Macaca fascicularis: one gene and its partner. The protein of the gene in region 1 interacts with the protein of each later gene in a biochemical or structural test. Links are inferred from orthologs where the notes say so. Each region holds a gene or a part of one and is shown on either strand. Other genes may lie near its edges.

Evidence for each region. The genes of interacting proteins can lie anywhere in the genome.
Region 2: of the proteins of PDGFRB (region 1) and PTPRJ, one has a biochemical effect on the other in vitro, tested with the Homo sapiens proteins (2 studies listed by IntAct). The link is inferred for Macaca fascicularis from reciprocal best matches to the Homo sapiens genes PDGFRB and PTPRJ.

The regions. Positions count from the first base shown.
Region 1 is NC_088380.1:157,016,459-157,020,613, forward strand, and holds part of PDGFRB (platelet-derived growth factor receptor beta), read right to left. Parts: coding exon 3,922-4,155; intron 3,385-3,921; coding exon 3,118-3,384; intron 2,378-3,117; coding exon 2,250-2,377; intron 2,131-2,249; coding exon 1,956-2,130; intron 1,380-1,955; coding exon 1,187-1,379; intron 535-1,186; coding exon 419-534; intron 1-418. UniProt on the Homo sapiens protein: Tyrosine-protein kinase that acts as a cell-surface receptor for homodimeric PDGFB and PDGFD and for heterodimers formed by PDGFA and PDGFB, and plays an essential role in the regulation of embryonic development, cell proliferation, survival, differentiation, chemotaxis and migration.
Region 2 is NC_088388.1:17,853,808-17,858,062, reverse strand, and holds the start of PTPRJ (receptor-type tyrosine-protein phosphatase eta), read left to right. Parts: upstream 1-1,723; 5' UTR 1,724-1,729; coding exon 1,730-2,167; intron 2,168-4,255. UniProt on the Homo sapiens protein: Tyrosine phosphatase which dephosphorylates or contributes to the dephosphorylation of CTNND1, FLT3, PDGFRB, MET, KDR, LYN, SRC, MAPK1, MAPK3, EGFR, TJP1, OCLN, PIK3R1 and PIK3R2. Plays a role in cell adhesion, migration, proliferation and differentiation.

The DNA of each region.
Region 1 (4,155 bases):
TTTGCCTCCCTACTGTTAGTGTTTGTCTTCCCCTACTCGGATGCAAGCTGCACAAAGGCAGGGAGGGAAGTTCAAGAACCTTGAACAGACAGGCATATGGTAGTTGCTCAGTAAATACCTACTGAGTTAATAGTACAGTATAAGTGGAATGTAAGAAGGAAACATCATGGCCTTGGTACCTAAGCGCCTGAAGTTTTGGAAACACCCATCTAGCCCAGTGGCCTCCTTATACAGCTGGGGAAACTGAGGCCCAGAGGCCAGGTTCACACGGCAGTGGGTCAGTGGCTTAGAATTCATCTCCTGAGTTCCAGGGTCCCTCTCCCACCCTCCTAAGAGTGGGTGGACAGTGCAGGAAGGGAGAGGGAATGGGAGCAGGGAGGGGAAGCAGAAGGGACATGGGGAGGGGCGTGCTCATCACCATTGATCTGTAGCTGGAAGGAGAGCTGGACCTCAGCGTCCTCATGGAAGGCCCGCATGGTGTAGTGGCCAGCCTCTGCCACCTTCACCCGAACGAGTGTCAGCTCTGACACATACCTGGGGAGCAGGAAAGGCAGCTGTCAGTCAGAAGGCCTCTTACAGTTCTCCCCACCCTCCTGGTATAAACAGGAACAAGGACCAGGGAGCGGAAGAGCTTGCCAAGGTCATCTAGGCATTGGTAGCAGAGCCGGGACTCAAACCCGGTCTCATAAATCCTCACCCATAGGCAGTTCCCCTAAGCCAAGAGGGAGGGTTGAGATGGACTGTGGGTGGGGGTGGGGAGCATTGAAGGGAAAGTCCTATTTCTCTCCCCTTCAGACAGGTGGACACTGCTCCATCCTAACCTGTCACAGTCTATCGGCCAGGCAATCTCTAGCCTCAGGGATACCACAGGCCATGAATGGTCTGCCTGGCACCCTCTTCCCCAGTCATCTGCCCGTTTACTTCTTAGCTGCTACTGCTGGCCCCACCCATCATAAGCACAACTAAACATCTGGGTGATCATCTGACCGGCGTCTGTTTCCTCCACTAGACTAGGAGCTCTAGGAGGGATGAACTGGCAGCTCTGGTCGCTGCAGCATCCCCAGCACCTGGCACCTAACATGCTCTCAGAAAGTTGGGCCTAGGTTTGTGGCTGAAAGCCAAGGGCTGCCTGGTGGCTGCAAAGAAAAATAACTTCAAGAATGGGGTGGGAGAGCGAGCTGCTCACCTGGTCTCTGACACGTTGCGCGTGGACAGGGCGATCTCGCCTGCGCTGGAGTCGCCCAAGGTGCGGTTGTCTTTGAACCACAGGACGGTGGGCGGAGGGTAGGCCTCGAACACTACCTGCAGTGTCCGGCTCCGGTGCAGCTCAGCAAATTGTAGTGCTCCCACCTCTCCCAGGAGCCGCACGTAGCCACTCTCTGCAAGGGGTGACCATCAGGGGCGGGCCCTTGGGGCAGGGCACCAACTGAATCCCAAAGGAGGCCAGCCTGTGAGGCGGGGCTTCAGGCCTGCGGACCCTGCTGGCCATGAAGTTCCCCGAGCTGAGGTTGAAATTGGGCTGGGGACGGGGCCTGGAGAAGGGGCCGAATTTGGGGCTGATGTGGATGTCGGGGCTGGCTCCCAGGTAGGGACCAGAGTTGTACTAACAGTTCTCTGTTCTGGGTCAGTAATGTGGCTGATTCTGGGACTAGTGATAAAGTTGAACTAGTGGTAAGGTTGAATTTGGGGATGGGGCTTCCTGGACCTGGGATGGCAGTTGGGCTTGGAAGTCAGGTTGGGGCTGGGGCTCTGGCTAGTCAGAAAGTCTAGGTTGAGATAGGGTTGGATTTGGGGTTGACACTGCACTTTGGTTTGGGTTTGTCTTGGTATTGGGGTTTTGGTTGGCACAGAGGCTAGCTAGGGCTGCACTGGAGTGTGGCTGACTATATCCCGGGGCTGTGACAGGCGGTGGGTCCAGCTCAGACTGGGGGTTGGGCTGAGCCCAAGGCACGCACCAACCACAGTGATGTTGATGGCCTTTTCATCCTGATGGTCATTCACACTCTCTGTCACATTGCAGGTGTAGGTCCCCGAGTCTTCTAACTCGGCACTGGGGATGTGCAGGATGGAGCGGATGTGGTAAGGCATATCCAAGAGGAAGTCGGTCACCGGCTCCACCAGCCGCCCACTCTGCAGCGACAGGTTGGGCAGGCCCCCCAAATCAGGAGGGGCCGGGGGAAATCAGTTTGCAGTTCAGATATTCACCCCTGCCTGGCCCCCCCTCCAACCCCTGCCTGGCCCCACATTACTTCTTTGCGGGGGTACATCCACTCGAAGTTGACCACCTCATTCCCGATCACAATGCACATGAGGGTAATGTTCTCACCCTGGCGGACCACCGTCTGCACTGCATTCACGGAGACGTTGATGGATGACACTGGTGGAAAGAGATTGGCTTAGGGCTGGGGAAGTCACCACCAGCCACCACTTCAGCTTGGGGATAGGGTAGGGGCTAGAGAGGGAAAGGATGACTGATGTAGAAGATTCATTCATTCAACAAATATTTACTGAATACCTACTACATGCCAAGTACTATTCTGGACACTGGGGCAACAGTAGTGAACAAAATGGACAAAATCTCTGTTCTTATGGAGCTGACATTCTAGAAGGGATAACAGACTGGAAATCAAAGTACACTCTGGAGATCTACGTACAGGAGAAATGTATTGAGCACATACCATGTGCCAGGTACTCTCCATCTTTTATTGTATTTAATCTTCACAATGATCCTATGAGGTAGGCAGTCATTATTATACCCACGTTACAAGAGGGGAAGCAGGCTCAGAGAGATTACGTGCTTTGTGTAAACTTACTCAGACGGGAAATAGCAAAGCTGGGATTTCGACCCAGCTGGCTCAGAAGCTCGTGCCCTCACCAACCATGTTACACAGGCCAGCTCTGCCGCTATCGAATTCTGCGACAGAGGACAAACTCCATCCTCTCTCTGCGCGTGAGTTTCCTCATCTGTAACATGGGGAAAACACTATCTCCCTTCCAAGGCTGTGGTGAGAATCCACTGGGAAGTGGAGTCTCACACTTTGTAAACTGTAAAGGGCTATTGCTCTGTGGAGGGTTATACTTGCCTGGGCTGAGCATCAGGCCAGAAAGGGGGCTCACCCTGGAGTCTGTAGACATAGTAGGCGTCAGAATCCACCTCCCTGTCCCCAATGGTGGTTTTGCAGATGTAGCTTCTGTCCTCAAAGATACCAGAAAAGCCACGCTGGTGATCGTAGGGGACAGGCAGTGCAATGTCCCCTTTCTTCTCGTGCAGTGTCACCACCAGTTGTGGGTCTGTTACTCGGCATGGAATGGTGATCTCAGTTATTTCCGTAAGAAAGATGAATAGTTCCTCGGCGTCATTAGGGAGGAAGCCCACGGTGGGATCTGCCAGGAGTGGAGCCATGAATGAGTCAGGGAAACCGGGTTTCTGGCCATCCCTTGAATTGCTGTGTGGCAAGTCATTTGCTGTCTCTGGCCCTCTGTCGCCCCGTTACAGAATAGGGATACTCCCAGAGGAGCATAAATCAAATGTTAGAGCTGGTCCCTTCCAGCTCTAATGTTTGATATTGACAGCGCCAGGGTAAGAAAGAAGGCAAGTCACAAGTTGAAATGCAGCTGATATCTGGAGCTTGGAGAATGGGGAAGACGGGATGTGGGGTCAAGAGGGAGCAGATTGGAAGCAGCTGAGAATATAGAGTTCTTGGGAGGCAGGAATGGGGTGACTGTCAGGGAGCAGGCAGATCATCCAGACCAAGGAGTGGGGGCGAATACACTGCCGGACTGAGCCAGGCTGGTTCCATGATTGTCTGCTTTTCTAGGATGGCGGCATTTCACAACAAACTAAAGCACTCTCTGGACTTCCCCTGGTGCCTCCAGTTGAAAAAGGGGTAAGGAGTGGGCACACAGCCTGGGGACCCTTACCTGGCACAAAGATATAGAGCCGTTTCCGCTCATCAGGCTCCAGTCCACGGGAGTCATTGTAGGTGCAAAAGTATTCTCCCGTGTCTAGCCCAGTGAGGTTGGTCAGTGTCAGCACACTGGAGAAGGTATTGTCCTGGACCTTGGCCATTTCCTGTGGGAGCTCCTGGGACATCCGCTCCCACACCACGGGAGCTGAACCCGAGCAGGTCAGAACAAAGGTGCTGGAGACATTGA
Region 2 (4,255 bases), on another chromosome or scaffold:
CCTGACTTCAAATGATCTGCCTGCCCTGGCCTCTTAAAGTGCTGGGGTTACAGGCGTGGCCTGAGCCACCACGCCCAGCCTGTTTTTTTTTTTGAGACATGGTCTCACCTTATTCCCCAGGCTGGAGTGCAATGTCGCCATCTTGGTTCACTGCAGCCTAGGTTCAAGCCATCCTTGCATCGGCCTCCCGGGTAGCTTAGTCTACAGCCGTGTGCCACCACACCCGGCTAATTTTTGTATTTTTTGTAGAAACTGGGTTTCACTCTGTTGTTCAGGCTGGTTTCAAACGCCTGAGCTCAGGTGTTGCACTCACCTCGGCCTCCCAAAGTGCTGGGATTACAGGCGTGAGCCATCCTGCGGCTCGGCCAAGTTTCTTTATCCTTAGTGCTTCTCTGGGTGTGTCGTCTGGTGGGAGCCACGTAGACCCTGTACGTGAATGTGTGTTTCCATCTTGTAGATGGTAACCTGAGACCCAAGGGGTGTCTGGAGGTAGCGTTGGCCACCTGGTGGTCTGCACACAGAATCCAGCCTAGACTCATTATCCTGGCCTTTGAAGTCTCTCCCTGTATGAATCCCCCAGCCTCCCATTCCTGTTTCTCCCAAGGCCAAGCTTGAAGCATCTGCTGCCTCTTTTCTGCCAAGTTGGCCCCACCTCCTGAGACACTTCTCCCCTCTACTGGCCTGGTGAAACTCAACCCATCCTTCAAAGCCCAGCTCAGGTGTCACCTCTCTCCTGGTTGGAATTAACCTCTTCCTCCTTAGCACTCTCTGGTTTGGCCCTTTCTCTCGCGGCTTCTCCTGGGCAAGTGGCTTAGCCTCCCTGATCCTAGCGTCTTCCTCTGTGCATGGGCACAGGAGTAATATCTGCTGTGATTTTTAACTCCTGTCAGTTCATGGACCTCTTTAACAACGTGATGAAAGCTTCCAGAAGAGCTAACATATGTGGAGTCCCACGATGTGTCAGGCCAGGTATTTAGGACTTTACTAACCACTGTCCCGTCTAATCGTGAGTGCAGTGGACCTCTCTCTACACAGGTCCTAGTACGATCTTTATTTCACACGGGAGGAGAGGTGGGTGTGGGAGCGGCCAGAGAGGAGAAATGCGTCTCCAGAGTTCACAGAGCTGGTACTGCCAGCAGAGCCCGGTCCACCATATGCCACCGCTGGGGTTCTAATCCCTGGACTGGCCTCTACTGGGCTCTCTGCCTCCCTGGCCGGCGCTCGGGGTCTGGGGGACAGAACACAATGTACAGCGTGCCTCCTACAATTTCTGGGTTCACGCACCCCCAAGCCCACCCAGGGACAGGTCAAGCGCGCCTTCGCCGGGATGCTGTATACAATAAGGCTTGGCTGCGCTCTCAGCAGGGGTCTCGGTCAACCTCTGCCTACCCGAACCCGGCGCCGTGGACCGGGTGAGAGAAGGGGAGCCCGTCTTGAGGGGTGCCGGCTCGAGGCGCTAGAGCCACGGAGCCTGGTCCTGGGCTCGAAGTCCCAGGAATGTGGGAGGGCTGGGCGGAGGGGCGGGCGAGGCGGGGGCGCTTCCTCTGCCCGCGGGAGGAGAGCAGCGGCCGGCTCGGAGGGGGCGGGGGCAGCGGCGGGCGGCGGCGAGGGGCTGCGGAGCTCGGCAGCCGCCGGGCCGGCCGGGGCGGGAGGAAGCGATGAATATTCAGAGGGGGAGGGGAAGGGAGGGGGCCGAGCGCTCGCCGCGGCTCCCTGCAGCCCCAGCCGCATGACGCGCGGAGGAGGCAGCGGGAGCAGCCGCGGGAGCCGGGACCGGGGAGCCGCGCACTGGGGGTGGGCGCCGCTCGCTCCGCCCCGCGAAGCCCCTGCGCGCTCAGGGACGCGGCCCCCCCGCGGCAGCCGCGCCAGGCTCCGGCGTGTGGCCGCGGCCGCCGCCGCCGCTGCCATGTCCCCGGGGAAGCCCGGGGCGGGCGGAGCGGGGACGAGGCGGACCGGCTGGCGGAGGAGGAGGCGGAGGAGGCGGCAGGAGGCGGCGACGACGGTGCCCGGGCTCGGGCGCACGGCGGGGCCCGATTCGCGCGTCCCGGGCACGTTCCAGGGCGCGCGGGGCATGAAGCCGGCGGCGCGGGAGGCGCGGCTGCCTCCGCGCTCACCCGGGCTGCGCTGGGCGCTGCCGCTGCTGCTGCTGCTGCTGCTCCTGGGCCAGGTAAGCGCCGGGTGGGCTCGGGCGGGGGCCAGGAGGCTGGGGCGGGACTGGCATTGCCTGCACCTGCCTGGGAGTACCCCGCCTGGGGGGTTCCATGGAAGGGGGCGAGGGTCCGGATCCTCGGATCCCCCCTCTTGAAGGCGGCTTGCGGGGACCCCGGCCGGCCTCGCACGCCGGCGACCGAGCCCTTTTCCGGCTGCCCAGGATCAGGGGGAGGGAGGCGGGATCCGGGTTCCGCGGTGCCCGAGCCTCCCGGGGAAAGCCTCCGCGCGGGTTCCAGGCGGTCCCCGGCCCGGCTCTTCCCGGCGCTGGGCACATCTGGCCGGCACGGGCCCGGCTTGCCAGCCCGAGGCGGCCGGAGGGGGCGTGTTTGCGGAGGTCTGGGGACGCAGTGCCGGGCGGCCTGGCCGAGCCTTTGCCGACCGACCTCCGACCCGGCCTGCAGGGGCCCGAGGGGCGGCGGGGGCGCCAGGGCAGGGCCAGGAGCTGGGCAGTGGGGCCCTGGGCGAGGCACGGGACTCGGGGCCGAGGGCGCTGTTTCTGGGGAAAGTTCCCAGGCCGGGGAAAAGGTGGCCGAACGCTGGCTTTTCTCAAGGTAGCCGGCCCTTTTGGCGTCGTGCTTGATTTCATGGGTGTTTAATTCGTGCTTTGTGGGCGCCGGCTCCCCGTCCCCACCCCACCCCCGCCCTCTTGTCTTGCTTCACTTTTCGGATAATGCTGTCCCTGGCGTTTTGGTGACCGACCTTTCCCCTTCCTGGCATTTCCATAGGGGGTGAGGCAGGGCAGCTGAGGGGCATTCCCATTTCACAGATGGGGAACTGAGGAAGAGAAGTGAAAGAGCGGAGCACCCAGCCCGTGCCATGGGAGCTGAGCCAGCGGGCGCGTTCTCTCAGCCTCTGGAGCCTATCGGGGTTTGAACTCGCAGGGGAAGTGGCCTGGGGCTGCCCTGCTGTGCGTTTCTGCAAATGACCGTCTTGCTTGGTTTATACAGACACCATCTCTGAGGAAATGAGTTATTGACTGGGGATGGAACCTGGTTTCAGGGAAAACTTCTCCAGCTTGAATACAGGAGAGAGCAGAAGCATCTCCCTGGGGCAGAAATGCCGCCCAGCAGGCAGTAGGAGAAAGGGGCTTGGGCCTAGGGGCTGCGTGACCCTCGGCATCCAGGGGTCTCTCCTCGCAGTTTCCTCAGCAGGTTCTGCACAGGCTTTCCTGGGGGCCGGAAGGCAATGTGACCTCCTGCAGAGAACCTTGGAGTAGATGTCAGGAGACTGGCTCCAGGTCCAGGCCGCAGGGCTGGACTTCCTCTTCAGGCTCCTCTACCCTCAGTTAACAGCATCTGTAGAATGGGTGTAGCACCCCCTTCCCGATGGAATTGTTTGAGGGGCTTCCGCTGGCCAATGTCTAAAAGAGCTTTGTAAATATTAAGGGTTTCCAGATGGGATTCTCATTATTAAGGTACAGTGTGTGGGGGGGCTGTCTTCTCCCTGACCATGCAAGGAAATTCAGGGAAGCAGTGTCTGAAATTAAAAAAGCCTTGCATTTGAAGATTTCTTGTATCAAAGTTTATGCTAAAACAAACAAAAACCCCAAAAAACAAAAAACAGAAAACCTCCCAACTTAAAGCTTCATTTGTTTTTAAATATATATGTAATTTATTTTTTCGCTTCAGCAAAAAAAATTTTAAATTATAAATATAATTTTTTGTTTTGCTCCAGCCATACTGGTTGCTAGCTGTGCTTTCAATCAGCAAAAAGTTTCTTGGGTAAATTTATTGCTTGCTCAATCCTTCCTTGTATTTCATTAGCATATTGCCACTCTACACTTGTCCTGTATTTAAATATTTCCTTCCTCTATGGTTTGTTCTGTAGAACCTCAAAAGGACTCTCTTCTTTTTTTTTTTTTTTGGATACATTATGAAATAGGAAATCTAAAAGGCTCTCAGAAGAAGCATCTTCAAAATCCACATTCAGCAGTTCATTTTGATAATGGATATTTCAGGGAATCAGTGCCTTTTTGAGCTGGACCAGACTTTCAAGATAGCTGAAACCCCTCAGAGCTCTTAGATGAGGATATTGAGGTCCAGAG